2 linked regions of the Yarrowia lipolytica genome follow. Each later gene encodes a partner of the first gene's protein in a complex. Links are inferred from orthologs where the notes say so. Each region holds a gene or a part of one and is shown on either strand. Other genes may lie near its edges.

Region 1 (11,537 bases):
CCTCCGTAGGGAGCAGAAACCACCCACTTCATGTCTGCCTCGGTAAGCGTGGCAATGGGGATGACGGAAATACCGGTCTGGTAGTTGGAGCAGTCTCGAGGACCGAAACCGACACCCCATCGGGCTCGCAGAGTGATACTGCCCTGCTGGTTGAGTCGGGTGAAGTTCTGCAGAACGGCCTCGGCCTCAGCTCGAGTGTACATTTTACAGAAGGCGTGCTTTCGCTCTCTGTGCATTACCAGCGACTGGGTTCGGCCATAGGGTCGCAGAATGGATAGAAGCTCCTCGTTAGTGGTCGACATAGTCACACCTCCAATGAAGATAGTTCGAGACAGCACCTTGATGGTTCCAGGAGGCAAAGAGTTGTCGTAGGTGACCTTCTTCTCGGTGGGAGGAGGAGCGTCGTCCTCAAAGGTGTCGGTTCCGGGAGGTTGTCGGTTCTGGTTTCGGCCTCGGCCAAAGTCCCGATCTCCTCCTCGGTCTCCCCCTCGGTCTCCAGAACGGTCTCGGTAGTTTCGGTCTCGTCCGAAATCACGGTCTCGGGGATCTCGGTCCCGGGGGTCCCTGTCTCTGTACTCTCTAGAACGGTCTCGGAAGTTGTCTCGGGGATCTCGGGGGTCTCGGGGGTCTCTCGACGGAAGGTTCCAGGCCTGGTTGACATCTCCACCGGGCATGGTAGGAGGAGCACCGCCAGACTGAGCCATGATCATCTTGAGCACATCAGCAGCAGCATTGGGGTTGGCAGCGGGTGCGGGGGCAGGTGCGCCCGCGGCAGCGCCAGCGTTCATGCTAGCAAGAGCCTGCAGAATGGAGGCTGTATCAGTAGGCACGGGGTTGGAGGCAGCGGGAGCAGAGGGAGCAGCACCGCCAAGAACAGCGGCCAGAGCAGCAGCAGCATTGGCGCCTCCAGCAGGAGCTGCTGTGGATCCAGTGACAGGGGGCTGGCCCTGGTTAATGAGATCAATCAGCTGCGAGGGAGGAGACTGCTCAGGGGTCTTGGACATACTAAAGAAGCCCCGCATTCTCTGCATGGAGTCAGGGGGGAAAGTTCCAGCCTTCTGCCAAATCTCCACCAGCTTGTCCAGCTTGTCTCGAGTGTCGTCAGAGGAAGTATGGTCTACACACTCTCGAGCAGCTCTCTCGACAAACTCAGAGATTCGGAAAAGACCCTTGGCATGGGAGCCGTCGGGAGCTTGGGGGTTCAGAGCATGGCCAACCTTCTTGTTCTCCTCTTGGTACGCTCGAGCAACGGCATCTAGAACATACATGGCTCCAAGCTTGTGGCTCAGAGGAGTCTTGTTGAGATGTCGCTCAAGGATGGGAATGAGAGTGGATTCCATCTGGGTTAGTAATACGTTGGGGAAGGGCTATGGGGTACCATGATCTCGTAGGTTACGGTGGTTACGATAGTGGTTTGAGATGATTTGAAAACTTGGGGAGCCATCTTATCACCATATTGGAGTGTGACAAGATGTTCGTTCACCCTCAAACCAGATACAATGGTACAGTTGCAACGTACAACTGATTACTGTGTACGTGTTATACTGCGCGCGCGTGTTTTACTGCAATGAAAGCAAAATAACAGTGTGAAATAACGGTGATTTTTTTTGTATTGTAGGTGTGGCAGCCGGGTCGCCATCTCCACTTGTGTAAGAACAAAATAAGGGTATCATTTGTTAATGTTCCGACAATAAGACACATTGATAAATAGACACTGGACAAGCGTGTCAGTTCATACGATAAAAGTCCCTGATATCACTCGTGTGTTGTCGTCATCATTGTCACCGTTGCGTCTCACCTCCATATATACCATACGATCTACCGGTTGGTCGTCACAAAAGTCAGGATAATACTCACATCAACGTTCTTCATGGCCAACTCTCGAATTCCGTTAATCTTGGAGCCAGACACTCCTGGAGCCTTTGCCACCAACATGGATGCCAAAAGCGCCTCGAATTCAGTTTCCACTGCCGAAGACATTTGTGTTTGTGTGTGTGTCGTGATTTGTGTGTTTAGTGCGTGTGTCAAAGCTGGGGGCAAAATACTGTACTACAATAATACCACTTGATACGATACGAGTACTGTGTTTGTGTTGTCGTAGAATGTTTTGCTGAGTGCTGAGATGTTGTGTGGATGAAGGAGAGTGGGTTGCGCAAAAACTGGTACCATATTGTAGTTAGGGTTACCCGGCCGGATTTAAGGTTACATAGGTTGTAAGTCATATGATGTGAAAGTGTCATCGTGGAATATAGAAGGATGTTATGGTTGCCCTGTTTGCCAAATTTTGACAGGCTCCTTATATACTACGTTGAATTTTTTGTATTATCAAATCTATTTATGTAGCTACTGTACATGAGTCTCAATGGCACTTCAGATTTTTTTCTTTTAACTCAGGTAAGAGAAGAATGTGGTATAAATTTGAGCCCAAGAGGGAACCATAATCATGCTGTACGGAAAGTTGTATTGTCCTAACTTCTGGTCAGAGCTTATTCTCACAGTATAATAAACGTCAGAAAAGGCTTAAAGATGAAACAGTCAACAGATACATCATTTTGTGCTTTTTTAACAGGTTTTTTTATTCTAGGGAACAGATTATGAGTTCTCGTGTCAGGACTCCATGGCTACCATCCTCAAAAAGTTTATAGCCGCCTTCGTGGCCAAGTGGTAAGGCGCAGCACTAGTAATGCTGAGATCATCAGTTCAAATCTGGTCGAAGGCATATATTTTTATAATTTTTGAACACAGGGTACACTGCCGGTTACCAGTACTTGAACCACTATATTACCAATCAATCTTCTTTTACTCACTCACACTACTGTACAATTTATGCACATGATACAGTAGGTACAGTATGTACCGTACATACAGCTCAAATCATTTGACTTCAGGGGTTCTATATAAAAATACATCATTTCGTTTTATTTTGCACACTCTCTCTCTACTCCTCATCATCCTCCAGCTGCTCGTCAATGAACTCAACTGCTTCCTTGAACCGTTCCTCCACAATTCGATGTAGACCGGTGCTGTCACATCGGAGCACTCGTCCAAACTTACGCCTTGGCTTCTTGGGGTTAGTGCTCACATCCCAGCAGGGATGGGTGTCCGCAGTGAAAACCAGTGACGATCGGTAGAACCAGTCGGTGATGTACTCGTCAATAATGGAGACAATAGGGCGCAGCTGGGTCTCGGAGATGAAGTTGATGACGCAGTTGACCTTTTCTCGGGTGTCTCGGTGGCCTACCAGATGCACCAGACCAGCGTAGGCATCACCAAAGCCCACCATGATCACGTTCTGCGCGTCAAACACACTGAGGTACTTGTCCCACAGATACAGGCACACCTCCTGGCTGGCAAACAGTGCATAGTAGTTGTCGTCGTCAGCTCCATTCAAAGCCTTGGGAATGTTGACGTCAATGATACCGTATCCCCGTCCATGTGCCCACTCCAGCCACTTTGTCGTCACGTCAACCATGCAGGAATCAAAGTCAAGCTCGCCAGTGACAGCGTCCACCTTACCCCAGATCTGAGGAGGATCATGCACAAACACAACCACGGTTTCGGCCGAGTGGATTTTTGGTGATGCAAGAATCTGGTCTGCCAGAGAGATTGACGATCCTGAAGCAGGACCAGCAGTGGCAGCCCGTCCAGATGGCGTACTGCTGCTTCCTCCCATGTTTGGAAGAGCCGATAGCTTGTACTTGTCGAACAGCTTGCGTGCCTGGTAGGATCGAACGACGTCACCCATCAGATCGTACGTGGTGATCTCCTTGGGAATGATAGTCTCAAAGCCAGGCTGCAGACATCGCCAGTACTGAGACTGGGTCTCGACCACATCCTGGACAACAGAGATAGTTGCAGAGGTGGGCTTGAAGGCCGCAGGAAGAGGAAGAGGCGCCTCTCCAAGAAGCACCTTGGTGACGGCCAAGGCAGACTTGGCAGTGGCCTCCAAAGTGTAACCTCCCTCCAGCACCACAGCCAGGTTTCCAGAAGCCAGGCCCTTGAGCATGTGGGTCATGTGACCATATCCCGAAGGCGTAATCTTGCACCCACCAAGAAGATCACCCTCGGCTGCGTCGAAACCAGCTGACACAATCACAAAATCAGGGTCAAACTCCATACCAATTGGCATGACGACTTTTTGGAATGCGTAAATGTAGTCTGCATCGCCAGCTCCAGGGGCACTCCAGGGAATGTTGACACTGTATCCCTCTCCAGCTCCAGTTCCCACAGACGTGTGAGCTCCAAATGTGCCTCCAGGGTAGAATTTTCCGTTCTCGTACTGGTGCAGAGAAATGTAAAGCACCCTAGGGTCATCCAGAAAGGCTCGTTGGGTACCGTTTCCGTGATGAACATCCCAGTCGAGAATCAGGATCCGCTTAACTCGCTCAGGGTACCGTTTCAGTAGCACCTTGGCAGCCACAGCCACGTTGGAAAACATGCAAAAGCCAGCAGGGTTGCCAGGCTCGGCGTGATGGCCTGGTGGACGAACGACGGCAATGGCGTTCTTGACATTCCGCTCGATCACGGCTCTACACGTCTCAATGGTTCCTCCACAGGACAATTTGCCTGCACTGAACGACTCATTGTTGAAATAGACCGAGTCGCCCTTTTCGCCCTCCTCCAGTAACTGCGGTCGGTTCATCTTCTCCGTCGACGCTAGGAAGTCCACATGTGCGGGGGTATGCACCTCCAGAACCTCGTCGAGCGAGGCTTCTCGGATCGGAATCTTTTCCATCAGTGGGCCAATGTCCTCCAGACCTAGATACTCGGGATCCACCACTAGTCCTGCATCCACCAGCGCCTTGTACACTGAGAAAATACGTCTCGGGTCCTCTGGATGAGGGTCCACGTAGTCGTAGGATGTGGACACCAGACGAGCATGGTATCGCATTCGCACGTCGTAACAGACTCCAGTTTTCAGCGGAATGTAACGCAGCTGAGGAGCCTTGAGGGCTGGGTTGACGTCTGCGTCGAGGATGAGTTCACGGGCGCGTTGTGTGTCGAATTCAGGCGTGTCTGTCTCCTCAAACTTACGCTTGCCGTTGACGTGCTCCAGGTCCACCAGCGACAGAGTCTGGGGCACAAAGTTGGTATCGAACTCCGTCTTGATGGGCTGCGCCATTCGCTCAGCAATCTGGCCGGAGATGGAAGCGCTGTCATAGTCCCCTAGCTGCACCTGATCCATGTTGATTTTATAGTCGTCCGACGTGTCCATCAAATCGCCATCGGCCACCGCACCAGTGTCGTGCATCGCCTGTAGGTCGTGTTCGTTCGTGTTGGTTGCTGTAGTGGTGGTTGCTGTAGTGTCGGTTGTGCCCGTTCCGGTCGTGCTAGTTGCGGCGTTCGTGTCGTGTGTGGTGGGTTCGACGACGGCTTCAGTCTTGACGTCGGTGCTAGCAGGAGCCTCATTTATCTCATCGATTTTATCGTTGGCAGTCACTTCGGGCTTCTCGTCGGTCTTATCCTCTGCTTTGACTACCTCTTGCTCATTCTCCTCCTTCTTCTCATCCTTCCCTTCAACTCCGTTCTTGTGATCCTCTTCAATCTTAGCACCAGGTTCAGCTTTTTGTTCAATCGAAACAGAGGGCTCATCAGCAGCTGTTTCAGCCCCCGGAAGCGGTTTTTCAGACGTGTCGGGCGCGGTAATCTCACCAACATTGGTCTCGACGGCCGCTGCACGCTCCCCCGCGTCCTTGATATCCCGATCACTGTCCATTTCTATCGTGTTGTGGTGGTGGTGAGGCTAAGAAGGTTTTACCCGGTTGCTCTGTATCACACACGTCCCTGGGTCCATCACTAGTGGTGGGCGCGGTTGGAGCCTAAAGAGATTGTAGAGTGCATCAGAAGACCGTCGATGGATTACTGCCGCCCCTGAACCAATCACGGTATTTGGCCTTTCCGAAAATCGAACTGGAGCCGCCGTGGACCCTCTAGAAACCGCACGTGACTTATACGACACTACAAGGCCCTAAAACCACAAAAAGGGAGCGTCGCCCATTTTTCACACCTTGTCCAGATAAGCTTGGGGGTGATGTGAACCGAAATAACTGGTTGTAACCGGGGATGTGTGCAGCTTTCCACGTGACAGGTCGTCACTGAGCGACTTTGTGTTGTCACGTGATCATTCCCATTGCTCCTGGCACTCCCTCTCCATTTTAATCCCACTCGTAATATCCACTTCCATCCTCACATCGACCTACCGGAGACATGCAACAATCGGAGAGCTTATTGATTGTACTGGCCTACACTGGGATATGCTGGAGCTTGTAAATGGGGAGGTTCTGACTTGGCGAATCATATACAGTCTTAATCTGAGCAGTCACTTGCAAAGTACTACACTTCCGAAAAGGCACTTTGCTGCACAAAAAACGTAGCTCTCCGCGTCGCTTCGTTCCATTACCTATTGTAGGCAGTGTCTTTAATTGAACCTTGTCCCAGTCTCGCTACAAGTAGCCTCCCTCTTTGGGGTTATGCGGAGGTGTGGCGAAAACGACCTACCTGTCTGAGAAGTATCGATGGAGTAAGGTGATGGTTCACGTGATTATAAACATTGTACCAAGGTCAAATATCGTCGTGTGAAAGGCAGTTTCTTGTTGTTTGTTTACTACTGCTCATATTCTCGTTCATAATGTTTGGTCAGTGCCTGCCCCCTCAAACTCCCCTAACCCCCTGACCCCAGATAAGCTCCCTCATGCAGCAACTTGTGTACCACCATCGCCGTTGTCTAATTTTTTTTTCGCTCAGGCCTCAAAACGACCATGTTCCGATCCAGCGACCGACCCCGGTTCAATCTCAAGCTCAAAATTATCGAGCTGGCCAATGTGCCCCAACTGACAGGTGTGGCGACCGTGCGATGGCATCTCACCGACCATCGACGCAACGACTTTCGAGGACGTACGGACGTCGCTCGAATCCGGAACCACCGAGCCGAATGGAACTACGAGACGTCCATGGAGTTCAGAATGCGAATAGACGATGATAAGATGCTGCACGGCTCGTCCATCATGTTCGATGTGTTTGTGGAGTCCAGAAACGACCGTCAGAATGACAAGGAGATCAACACCTCGGACAGAAACCACCTAGGACGAGTGGAGCTGAATCTCGCTGAATACGCCCAGGACGAACCAATTACGCACAGATACTTGCTCCGAAAGTCCAAGGTCAACTCACTGCTCAACGTCTCCATCAACATGGAGCAGCTGCGAGGAGATACAGATTATATGATTCCTCCTCTCTCTACACAGCACATTTTCGGTCTCATGAGCCAGAAGGAGACATCTGATGCCGGCGGAGAGAGCAAGACGTGCGAGTATCGAAGAGAATTCGCCCGAGGTTACTTTGTCTCGCCCCAGGGAGTGTCTGTCAACAAGTGTATTGAGGACATTTTCCATGGAGGGGACGGATTTGGAGACGGAGGCAAGGGTATGTTCTGGCAGCCTCCCAAGAAGAAGGGCTCCAAGAGGGATGCTGATATCAAGGAGGAGCCTGAGAATTCTTCAGGTACCAACGGTAACCAGCCCAAGAAGACCAGTGCTTCTTGCAAGCTCAAGGAGCGTCTCACCTTCCACAAGTCCCATCCTAACAACCCCCATACTCCGCCCAAGCCCTCGCCGCTGCACGAATCTGTTGACCAGGAGCAGATGCAGGAGGAGAGTGCGGGTATGCCTCGCTCTACTGAGGACAATGCTATGGGAGCCGGTCCCAAGTCCCAGGAACCTGCAGGTGTCAATCTTGGAGGCAAGCGAGGTGCCGATCGAGTCTCAGACTTGTACAGAGGCTTCCGGGACTTCCAGAGCACTCGAAGAGACCAGGTCAGACAGGGCAAGAGTCTGGAGAACTTTGTCATCAACAGCGCTCCTCCTGGTGTGACTCTGCCTCGAGCTACAGACATGCTCAATGGATACATCAGTTGGTACGTTGTGGACGAGAAGACCGGCCTTGAGGAGGAGGGCTCAAATCTCGAGGGCCAGAAGGTGGCACACAAGCACTATGTTGAGCAGAAGATGATGCACGATGAGTTTATGAGAGAGCGAATTAACGTGCTGGCAGAGGAGAGCAAGGCTCGGGAGGAGGTGGAGCGCTTCAACAAGTCTCATGGAATCGACAAGCCTGCATACGAGCCACTTCCTCCCAAGAGTGAGGGCATTCTTCCCGAGATGGCACATGCTCAGGCTATTCAGCAGGAGGCAGAGGCTAAAAAGAATGCACAGGAGGTTCCCGACCAGAACGGACACCAGGCGTCTTTGCCCATGGCCCCTGCTGGGGCCAAACACTCTGAGCGAGCTCGTGCAGCCTACGAATTTGCACCCAAGACAGCTGAGCCCAGCAACTCGGAAGTGGCTCCGGACGTGTCTGGCCAGCGAGACGCTCCTGTTGTCAACAATGCACGGGAGCACATGGCCGAGATGCGACTGGACTCGGAGTTGGAATCAAATGATCACTCTGTGCAGCCCTCTGAGGTGACCGCCGCGCAGCAGCAGCAACATCAGCCGAAGCAAGAGCCTTCTCAAGAGGCTAACGTGCAAGCAAGTTTTGATGTTAATTCTGCTGAGCGTTCCAACACCAACCCGGAGATTCTCGCTCAGCCTTTGAAGGATAGTGCATTGCCGAAGTAGAAGCAGCTTTGACTGATCGAAGACGTATGTAATTGAAGTATTTATTTATATCTCCACGCCATGGAGTGGGTTTCTATCAATAATCTGTCACCTGCATGTGCAGTATATGTCGGAGTCTCTATCGGAGCGTCTAAAACCAGTCTTGACAGATCTACAAGCGCCCCGAGTCTCACATGAGATCGTATTCGCATAACATAGTGTCACCTACCTTTAGACCCTGGCCATACGTGTGATAGGTACCTATCTATCAGAAAGTCTGTATGTATTTTCTATGACACCGATAAAGCATGGATCCGGAACTCCGTGGTATTATGAAGTCTGGAATGTGGGTACAAGTACTCCGTTTTGGGGGTTGCATTAGACCCAAGTGTAACAACGTAGAGCAACGTCTGCTCTGCTAGAGCACGTGAATATCAAACGCTCAACCCAATCCCTGGTTGAGTGCGGGTTAGCCTGGACATTTCTACGCCTTGATTACTCGTAGCGAGGGTTGAAAGTCATTTCGGCAAAAGGATGTCCGTGAAGAATAGAAAGTATCTAAGCACCAATAGCGGAGATTGCGATTTCTCACAAGTATAAGCAAGCTGAGACATAATTTGAGGACACACGATAGACTAGCCCGAGTTTTGGAGCTATTGGCTTCAGCGAAAAGCCTTTTTATTCCACCGCGAGCTCGTAACGACCCGTAGATGTGATTTAATCTGAAAATGTTGCAGGGCCCAGTGTATAGTCGATACAGTAAATACAGTACATGTTCCGTAGGCTTGTCTGGGTCCGTGGAGATGTTCGGATCGCTCCAACTATGGTAGAGACCTCCAACAGCCAACGGCAACGGCTAACGATGGCTTTTGGTTTAGACCCGTCAGCAGCTAAGAGAGCTACGAACCCCTCCTTGTCGACGAGCTCCTCCTCGCTCAACAGAGTTGTTGGGCTCTCTCGACAAGGAACGCAACGTGGGTTTTGAGTGTCTTACCCCAGTCCGTCAACACAGGGGCGCCAAGCAAAGATGGGGTCAGCCGTATGTGAAACGTTAGGCCTGATGCTGGTCACGAGCTGTTATCGGGGGAGCTGAGGTTACATTGTAACGATTGAGTACAGAAAGTGTTCATCAGGCTTGCTTGCTACTGTGTACCGATAGGGCTACTCCAAGGAAACATGTATACTTTTTTCCCCTTGAGCCGTCTCGTATAGTCCATTAATAATTGCCTACTGGAAAAGAATCGAACACGCTGGACCGTGGCTTGATCGTCATATTAGTTTCACATTGCCGGTGTCGTCATCCTCAAAAGTGGTGGAACGATTGTGGTGCCAAAAGTCAATCATGCGTCTCCACCCTCTTGCACACACTGAGATAACGAGACAGTTGCCGAAAAGTTGGGCGTTTTCTTTGTTACAGTGCCAAACAAAGAACAGGGGGGACCAAACTCTTTGTTGTCTCTCCTCATACAAAGACGTTCCAAGTCTTAAGTCATTTTAGATTTAATTTTTGGTCTACTGCCCATCGTTAGTGTGGAAAAACCGAGAAATACAAAATGCACCGTCGTCTGGCACCTCTACGAGCCCTATAGACCACGCTATCATAGGCCTACTTGGATCAGACCAAGACCTCCAAATCCAGCCTCTCCACCGTAAACGTAGACCCAGTATATGCACTGTGGGTAGTTCAGCTTGCTGCTGCACGGTTTCGTCATGATGACTCAAACACACCTTCTCCGAGACACTCTTCATAAGAGAGCTCATTCATCCGGGCTATTATAAACGCCTCGCAGACACAGTCCACACAGGACCAGAGGAGCACAAAAGACGCAGCATGTTAACGGGTATGCGGAGATGCGAAAACGAGCCAACAAACTACTGTACGTCTGTCTTCAAGCGAGACGGGTAAAGCGTAAATCCGCACTTAGGGAAGTAGAAGGTACACAATATTTCTGAGTAGGGCAGTTATAGCCGTTTTAGTTGATACCAGTACTTACAGTAGTAGGGGGTCAAATTGGGCGAGAAAATTTTAACGCACTATCGGACCGACTATTCAGTAGTGTGGGTCAAGCAGTGTCTATTTTATCGCAATCTCAAAATTGACACAAGTACAGTATGTACAAAGTACAAGTACTTGTACTCGTATGATACACCGTTTGTCAAATATCAGTCGCTCTTATTGATCGTCAGTATGGAATAAATAAATAAATAGTCTAGTGCGCTTGCTACCTTTTTTACTCGGCACAAACCCGTCCAGGAACGCCATCAAAGTCGGGCAGTCCCTTGCACACTCCCTTATGAATGTGCTCCTCAATCCAGGTCTCGTTGGACTCAAACATCTCGCCACAGCCCGAACAGGTGCCGGACGTAGTCGATCGCTGAGCAGACTTGGTTCCAGGAGGGTAGATGAAATGCCGGGCCTTGAGATGAGTTTTGTAAGTGTCTCGTCGTGAAAAGCCGCCCGATGGATGGCAGGGCATCTCGGCGGTGCAGTCGTAGAAGGGGCATGTGTGGGCCTTCTTCTCAGAATGCTTTTTGAGGTGTCGGGTAAGGTATCCCCGGATTCGGAACGTGGAATCGCAGTGAGGACACACAAACTTGGGGGCGTCGTCGCCCTCCTCACCAGCGGAGCCAGAGTTGGACACCGAGTAAGGAGAAGAAGATCGAGACGACGCGGGGGGCGACAGGGTGACGACGGGGGCCTGATGTTGCTGTTGATGTTGAGAAGAAATCTGGTAGAAGTCGATAGGCTGTGTCTGGTGGGTCTGGGGTTGCTCCATGTGCTGGGGCTGTTCCAGGCGCTGAGGTTGTTGCTGGGGCTGCTGCATGGTGGCGACAGGAGCATGCTCCTGGACCAGGTAGTCGAGAGCCTGGGGGGACTCCAAAGACGACGACGATGAAAACCGGTCGACTCTGTCAAAGGTCTCAAAGTCCAGAGCTTCCGAC
Region 2 (8,295 bases), about 350 kb from region 1:
GTTAATATTATTATGTGAATGATTGTTATTGTGTTTGTAAGTACAGTATGTACTTGTAGATCTGAATCAATGTTTACTACGGTTGCGTTCCAAGAAGCTAGCATCAACAATATATTACATCATCCAATACAGAAAACCAAACTGTCAACTGCATTACAACCTGTAGATCGGACTTTCTCCGTTGATTCCATCAAAGACGTAAAAGTTGTCGATGGGAATCTGTGATCGGGCCAGATAATTGAGCACCTCCTGAGCAATACCTCCTCCCATGATCGATGCAGTTGTGGCAATCTCTGCGTCCTTGCTAGTGAGCACCTGTTGTGCCAGTTCCTCAGAAATGATTCCCAGAGGCAGCTGCAGCTTCGAACACTGCTCCACACCCAGCTCGTGGAACTCCTTTGCACTCAAATCGCCCCACGACTTTCCGGGGTTTGTCTGTTCGTACTCCCAGCCTGTAAACAGAAGAGGCACGTATCCGGGGATTCGAGACTTGTGCTTAGGTCGCATGTGAGCAAAGGGCTTCGGCGTCTGAACAGCCTCGAGCACCTGCTTGAACGGCTTAAAGCTCTGCTTGAGAGAAGCACTGTAGTTTCCAGTCTCTAACTCAACTGTCCCCACCAAGGTAGCCTGCTCAGGGATGCTCATGGTCGAGGGCTTGTTGGGAGTCTCAATTTTGTAAGTATACTCTCTGAAATCAATGAAGGCGTAGGAGAAGAGACCAGAGATGCCCACGCAGATGTTAGTGGTGTCTGTCTCTTCACACAGGGTTGTAATGTGCACAATCTCCTTCAGAGTGGCCTGGGTGATAACCACGAGGTCGAACTTGCCCACAAATTCCTTGTCCAGGTCCAAAATGACCTTGTCCACCGTCTCCACGGTAACGTGTCGATTCAGCTGTGAGATTCGAGGCAGGGCAGATTCTCCTCGGTTTTTGTTCTCGTCGCCCTCCTGCACGAAAAACTGTGCTCCAAAGTCGGCATCAGAGGTGACGTGCGCATCCACGATAGTCAACGAGCCGATACCTGCGAGCACCAGGTCCTTGACGATTTCGTTGGCGACTGCCCCGATGTTGATGAGTAGGATCTTGGAGTTACGCATCCGCGCCTGCGATTCCATGCCCCACAGTCGAATCTGCCGGTCATAAAGTGCCACCTCGTCGGCCGAGATCGTGTTTTCCGTCTTGCCCACGCTGGTTTCCGTCATTGCTGGTGTTGAAAGGTGCAATTGAGATCAGGAAACTCAAACGCGTTGTGATAATATGCAGGATAATGAGTGAAGGTCTGAGATGTCAGAGGTGAATCAGGGTTGTGCGGAGGAGTCGGACGAGAAGAATAATGAGAGGTTATCTGCGAAGTTATGCCTAATGATACTGTAAGACTACAATACAATATAGTGTATAGGAGTTCATGGTGCCATCTTGGGCAATGTGCTCTTTTCAACGCTTGTAGTTGATTTGGAATTCATTGTAAATTTACTGTAGTTTCAACGGCCCAGTAGAGAGCACGGATTCGATGTTCCAGTTACTTCTGGAGTTCTCATCAGTCTTGATAATAAAACGACACCAGTCTTTCCCACTGCTGCTTATAGTATAATGGTCTCAATAATTTGTCTCATCCATAACTGATAGACACGAATTGATAGTCCTGCGTGTGGTGTAACAATCTTCCTCAGTCTCAGGGTTCAATGTATGTAAACGAGAAATGGACCCCAAACCTGTAGAAACGATATTATTCCCCACAACAATCCTAGTGTCTGGTCTCGTTCAGTAGCTCTTGATCTCTCTGTTGCAGTGCTCCTGACAAACGTATCACAATGCATGATTACTAAGCATGCGATTTCTATGTGCTTGTGGAATGAGAGATACAAGTACCAGCACTTCTACAGTACAAGTACAAGTACAAGAGAATGTATTTATTTTTATACACGCTAAAATTGCTATCAATGGATGGATCAAACAGCACAGCAAATATAGGCCTTCCCTGAAGGTCACGTTAGCTACTACAAGTAATACAACAACCACACCACATACTGTATTATACTCTCTACAGTATTTGCCCAGTCCTATTAGCACACACTAAAGACGCTTACAAGTGACCAACACGTAATTTCACACCAGTGCCTGTACACACGATGGCCTATGTAGTTTATCAAGATATAGATTACTAAGCAGATGATTGCGGTGTTACGAGCAGGGTGACTGAAATACCATTACTTGTACAAGAAATCTATCCGATATCTGGCATTTCTGGAGGTCAAAAACGTGACATTCTTGCTGATATGAAAATCACCGTCGTTTCTTACACCCCACAGAAAAACAGAGGATAAGGGCAACCAACTTAATGGTACGTAAGCTTCCCTACAGCAGGTGGGATGTATACTTCAAAAACGTGAAATATGGCTCTCGAATGAGCTGAAATTTGGACATAATCTTAGAAATTCCATTTCAAGCCCTCCACGTGAATTTTACACCTCGATCACCACTCCTACGCGAATTTGAACGTTGTCAAATACTGACGACCACGAGCCAAACCTTAACTTGACGCAGACACTCTCTCACCACTTCATCTCTTCCTCACGACATTCTGATCTCTATCTGCATCAAGTCCCCTGACACCTACTAAAATGGACATTGGAAAAATTCTGGACGTGACGCCGGAGCCGATTCTCTCGACAGATGCGGTGATCAACGCTGCTTCCGACAACCGCAGCATGGATTACTGTCTGCCAGTCCAGATGGCCGAGTTCCAACGAGAACTGACGGACCAGGTGGTCAACCTGCATTATTCTGACATTCTGCGGTTCTACGACACAATCAGTCCGACACAAAATCAGTCGTGCGCACCCTCTGATTGGGCCGATTCTCTGGGAGCCATGTATCAGGACTCGTTACTGGTTGCAACCCATCCGTACCTGCTGGTGGACCACTACATGCCCCGGAGCCTGTTGCTGAAAGAAATCCCCGACAAGCTGGCGCGTACCAGTGCCAAGTTCGCCGTGCTAGGCGACATTGTGTCACTGCTGGAAAACAAGCAATACAATGTGGCTCTGATAGCGCGGTCAGGAAAGACGTTGGATTTGGTGGAGGCATTTCTGCACGGCAAGCCTGTTTCTTTCGAGAGACATACAGGCCCATATCTGAGAGAGCCGTCGGCCAAGCAGCGAGCACACAAAACGACCATTCATGTCATGTCGTCGTCGCTGCTGGAGAGTAGTTACAATGGCGATCATCGTTTTGATCTGGTGATTGCCTTCGACAGCACGTTCAACCCAGCAGAGGTGCATGTGGAGGCTCTACGGATGCACAAGAGGAACATTCCCGCTCCCGTGTTGCGTCTGGTATCAAACCTCTCTGCTGAGCATGTCGCATACAGCTTTGGACTCACTGCTAACCCCGATAGAGTGTTTACGGAAGAGGTGATTGCAGCTCTAGTGGTGCTGAGAGACAAATCTGGAACAATCCCCGCTGAGATGAAGTCGTTGTACCTGCAGCAGCTTCAGCCATTGGCCTACTGGTTTGCCGATTTGTCTCTTCCTTGGCCACTTCCCGATCTAGCACCCATTTCCGGGTACTCCAAATTGGACGTGGAGACCTCAATGGCCTCGTCGTATCATCGTCGATCGGCCATTCCTGGAACCGCCAATGACCCTACGGACAATTCTTCTCAGCCTTCTAAGCGGTACAAGCTGGACCCTATCAGCGCAGACCACTTTGCTCCTCCACACGATTATGCACATGGTCGATGGACAGGTTTGACACAGGGGCTTCTGGAGCAATACAACTCGCTTGTTGGCCGAGAACGGCAACTAGTGTCGGAAATCGAGTCGCACAGGAAGCTCGCAACTACGCAGCAGCTCAAAATGGAGTCTCAACAGGACGAGATTGCGCGTCAGGTGCGTCAACACGCGTCCTTCGAGGAGACTATTGGCAAGCTGGAGCGAAAGATCGAACGAGGAGAATCAGATGCGGTTCGAAAAGAGGAGGCAGTTGTTCGATTGCAGGATGAGGTTGCTTCTCTGAAGGCTATTTTGGCTTCTGGAGAGGACGCAGACATCAAAACCAAACAGCAGGAGGAGATTCAGGCGCTGAAGACGAGCCTGCAAAAGGCCAATGCTACTGCTGATGCTCGGTCCAATGAGAATGACTACATGCGTTCCGAATACCAAAAGGCATCCGAGAGCGCGTCCGAGGCGTTGGCGAAGGTGGGATTGCTTACAACCGAGCTGGCTGAGGCCAACCAGCGTGCCGATGGTGAGTTTTCTGCCCTCAGAAAGCTCACATTCGACGAAGAGCGAGAAATTCGGGATTCGGAGATTGCAGAGCTCAAGGTTAAGGTGGAGAACTTGGAGGAGCAGCTCAAGAGACAGAGCGAGGCAGCTCCCAAGACATCACGTGCGAGGTACGGTGTGAGATCGAGCTCGGTTCCTAGACGAGCTCTTTCTCCTGCCGATGGACCTAATACGCAGTCAGAGTAGACGGATGACGAATGATGAAATATATTATGTATTATAGGAGGTTTAATTAATTACTGACGGATTGAGTGGTTCTATTTTTACTTACAAGTACTTGTAGTTTGAATGCAATATATTACCGATACGGTATGTGTTCCTACCCCTTCAACGCCTACTCCTTGCACCACAACTTCACTGTTCGATCCCAGCCACAGGTGGCGAAGTACTCGTTTCCAGGTCCCAAATCCATGCCCATGATTCGGTCTTGCGTCTTCCACCTTTTAGCCAGGGTCCACGAATCGGCATTCCAGATGTTAAAGTCGCCATCGTATCCCGTAGATGCGAGAAATGAGCCCGACTTGTCAAACTGAACACTCGACACAATCTTTGTATGTGCAGGGATTGTGTGGGAACATTTTTGAGCACGCAGATCCCATATTCTGACAGATCCGTCAGCAGATCCAGATGCAAGATAGAACCCGTTACCAGACCATCCCAGACTGTATATCTCTCGGATATGGCCTTCCAGAGTCTGAATACTTCGTCCAGATCGCATATCCCACACTCTGCCTACTGCATCCAAGCCAGCAGAGGCTACTAGAGCTCCATCCGGGTGGAAGGCCACAGAGTGGACACCCTTAGAGTGTCCTTCTTGAGACAACAGCTTGGTACCGCTCTCAATGTCCCACAGAGCCCAGGTGTAGTCATAGGACGCGGTAGCAGCCCACTGCCCGCTTGGATGAACGTCTAGACCTGCGATACGGCCCTTGTGGGCTTCAGACACCGTTCTGTATGCAGTATGTTCGTTGCCTTCTGTGCTGGAATCCCAGAACAGCAGCTTTCCCTCTCCACATCCACTCAGCAAGATATTACGTGCCCATTTCAAAGCACTTACTTTATCCACGTGCCCTCTCAACACAGCCTTGGTATTCAGATTCGGTACATCCATTAGCTTGATCTCGCCGTTCCACGATGATGCAGCCAGTATAGAGTCGCTTCCAAAAGCCACGGCCCCTGCTGGACGTGTGGAAACGAACTGTGATCCCAGAAGCTGATACTGCTCTATAGGGGCCATCTTATCTCGTCGTAGGTTAACTGTCTCCACCAGGGACAATTCCGACTGTTGCTTTTGTGTCGTGAGTCGGTCCCTTGCTCTCAAGATACTGTCGTTTGTTATCTGCCTCCTTGCATCAAGCAACTCTTCACTTCCTGGCGTAAAAAACTCGTCGTCGTCCATAGAAACGTCAGAATCGCTCTCTTCGTCCTGCAGACCTTCCCGATCAAACTCGTCCACCATTAGCTGACCCAGACGGGTCCGTCGATCAGCTTTGTCTTCTGCGAAAAGAGTAATGGGCTCATTCAACGATCGTAGTTTCGCTCTAACATCCTTATCGTCTGTAGGAACATGCAGTTTTTTGAGAATATCAGCTCGACGTTGTTTTTCCAACAGCTGACGGGCCGCAACGGCCTCTTCCCGAACTGAAGAAGAGTCCACCGTCGTCTTGATCGACTCCAGATCCACAAGTTCCATGTTGGTGATGAAGACAATTAGGTTGGGAGGTGCAGAATTGATACATTTGATTACTAAAGCGATATGGAGTGCTAAAGCAGGATTATGCAATGAGTGAAAGGCCCGAATAAACTATTGTAAGGTCAGGGTTGTTCAGATTTGCAGCTAGAGAGCAAGAAATATCGGCCACTTATTAACCACAGGTTATGAGTTTCTTGCAGCTCCTGCCTGTTCGATCCCCATAACTGTGGATATTATTCACTACTTGTAGCTCTGTTTAGATAATAGCTGATGAAGATGGTGGCGATATTTACAGAAAAATCGACTTTGGAAAAAACAACAACACGCAGGCGACTCCACATGCTGCTTCGATATACTGACCTCCGCCTACCTTCCCTTCACATGAATGATAAAAAACTCGTTCGGAGTTTAGCTCTAAAAGCGAAAGTGCGGAGAATGTGGGAACAGGATACAACTATAGAATGATAAAGTGATAGAAAAAGAGCTACTGAAACGAATAATGCGGGCATAGAAATAGCTTCAGAGCCTCACGTAACTTGTGTTTAGTTTGGCCTCTCCTAATACCTCAATCATCGCTCGCTATTAGCTCTCAGATGCCAATAATAATAAGACGCAGTAGATCGCCTAAGCAAGTTTAAACGGAATGTGTTGAGGCTATTTCAGTGTGGAGGAGTTATAAAGTGCAAAGAAGGGGGAGGAAGGATGTTTGAGTTGCCGGAAGGCATTCAATATATAGGAAATTCTGTTAAGAAAGAATCTCTTCCAAGCCCCAACCGTTGGCGCCCATCAATGGTGTGTTTAATAAACCCCGCTGACAACCGCATCCATGCATTCCCCGGAGTTAATATCTCACCTCCTGATATCTAGATGCAGCTTCGAAAGCTAAAGTGGCTACATTCACTACAGACCACAGGCAGTAAGCATCCGACACACAAGTGCACCTGTCTATAACCCCCACAATTTCTTCTCTTGTTGCACACCAACACCAACACCACAGAAACACAACAATGGCGATCCCCCACTTGGAGTGTCTGCAGAAATGCGTCCACGAGCTCCATGCCCTGTTGCATCAGCACTACCACGAGTTCCAGGCTTCTCCGGTCGCTTACCTTCATTCGAAGCACGACTGCGTGAGGGCTGAGGTAATTGAGCATTTCCAGAATGCCACTACCTATGAAAAGTGAGAATAAGCGAAGGATGAGACTGTTTGAGTACTACTAACCCAGATTTCGAGATGCGGTATTTATTGTGTGAGTATACACGGTCCCATTGAGAATCAAAACGACACAAGTAAAAGGCGATCTTACAGAGATACCATTGACGCCATGACACTCACGACGTTTTACCCATGAGATCTTGGAGCAATTATTCACAGAGGCTTCTCTTGGCCGTACATCCGACCGTCCGACCGGGAGCACACGGACATGATATCAGTCATCATATGTTAGCTACGACATACAATTAACAGCTACTCGCTGTTCATGTGATTTGATCTGGAAACGATGAGCTAGAGCAACCCAGCCATGTATATACTAACTCAGCGTCATTCTCACAGCCCTTGGCAACTTCCTTTCTTTTATTCACACCATCTTTGCTGATGGACTTCAAAACACATTCCGTTTCCATGCCAGAAAAGTGACCAAAAAGATTCTCGACATTCCCTTCATCAAGGCTAAGATTGACAAGGAGACAGGGGTTGTGATTGAGAAGATCCAGAACGACATTATCGTCCGAATGCCCGGCACCCAAATCTTTGGGACTCTCCCTGCTGAAGGTATGACCAACACAGAGGTCATCACTGAGATGTCTAAGTACCACGATATGAAGCGAACCTTCTGGGAAAAGGGTCGTGTAAGTGGAGCTGTCTACCACGGAGGTAAGGAGCTCACAGACCTGCAATCCGAGGCATTCTCCCAGTTCACAGTGGCGAACCAGCTTCATCCCGATGTCTTCCCGGGTGTCCGAAAGATGGAGTCTGAGGTTGTTGCTATGGTTCTGGCTCTTTTCCATGGCCCTGAGGGCTCTTGCGGAACCTCTACATCTGGAGGTACCGAGTCTCTCCTGCTGACTTCTCTGGCCGCCAAGATGAAGGCCTACAACGAGCGAGGCGTCACACATCCCGAGATTATTGCTCCTATCACTGTGCATGCCGGCTTTGACAAGGCTGCCTACTACTTTGGAATGAAGCTGCGACATGCCCCCGTCGATCCGAAGACTATGAAGGTTGATCTGAAGGCTGTGCGACGAATGGTTACCAGAAACACCGTTCTGCTAGTCGGATCTGCCCCCAACTTCCCCCATGGTATTATCGATGA

What was found. Proteins that work in one complex are often made in the same cells at the same time.
Region 2: the proteins of YALI1_E29709g (region 1) and YALI1_E33234g are in contact, whole or in part, in a cryo-EM structure (PDB 6Z6F), measured with the Saccharomyces cerevisiae proteins. The link is inferred for Yarrowia lipolytica from reciprocal best matches to the Saccharomyces cerevisiae genes HDA1 and HDA3. Residues at the interface, in NP_014377.1 of Saccharomyces cerevisiae: Arg67, Tyr68, Ala70, Ile72, Phe73, Tyr76, Phe77, Glu78, Tyr79, Ile80, His83, Pro87, Arg88, Tyr91, Arg92, Lys95, Leu108, Arg151, Asn167, Asn168, Asp169, Gln466, Ser470, Asp471, Phe475, Val476, Thr477, Pro479, Val481, Ser482; in NP_015505.1 of Saccharomyces cerevisiae: Gln47, Ile48, Ser50, Leu51, His52, Tyr53, Ser54, Leu57, Arg58, Glu61, Thr62, Lys66, Asp68, Val69, Glu72, Thr76, Asn80, Leu91, Ile92, Asp93, His94, Glu323, Leu326, Leu327, Thr328, Glu329, Val408, Asn409, Leu412, Ile416.

Annotation. Positions count from the first base shown.
Region 1 is NC_090774.1:2,965,192-2,976,728, forward strand, and holds YALI1_E29709g (uncharacterized protein), read right to left. Parts: upstream 5,717-11,537; coding exon 2,939-5,716; downstream 1-2,938. Other genes in the region: YALI1_E29665g (uncharacterized protein), read right to left, coding at 1-1,340, 1,858-1,980; YALI1_E29719g (uncharacterized protein), read left to right, coding at 6,759-8,615; YALI1_E29776g (uncharacterized protein), read right to left, coding at 10,826-11,537. UniProt on the Saccharomyces cerevisiae protein: Responsible for the deacetylation of lysine residues on the N-terminal part of the core histones (H2A, H2B, H3 and H4).
Region 2 is NC_090774.1:3,320,810-3,329,104, forward strand, and holds YALI1_E33234g (uncharacterized protein), read left to right. Parts: upstream 1-2,622; coding exon 2,623-4,473; downstream 4,474-8,295. Other genes in the region: YALI1_E33220g (uncharacterized protein), read right to left, coding at 154-1,203; YALI1_E33268g (uncharacterized protein), read right to left, coding at 4,622-5,980; YALI1_E33278g (uncharacterized protein), read left to right, coding at 6,988-7,160, 7,207-7,234; YALI1_E33285g (uncharacterized protein), read left to right, coding at 7,715-8,295. UniProt on the Saccharomyces cerevisiae protein: Required for activity of HDA1 histone deacetylase complex. The HDA1 histone deacetylase complex is responsible for the deacetylation of lysine residues on the N-terminal part of the core histones (H2A, H2B, H3 and H4).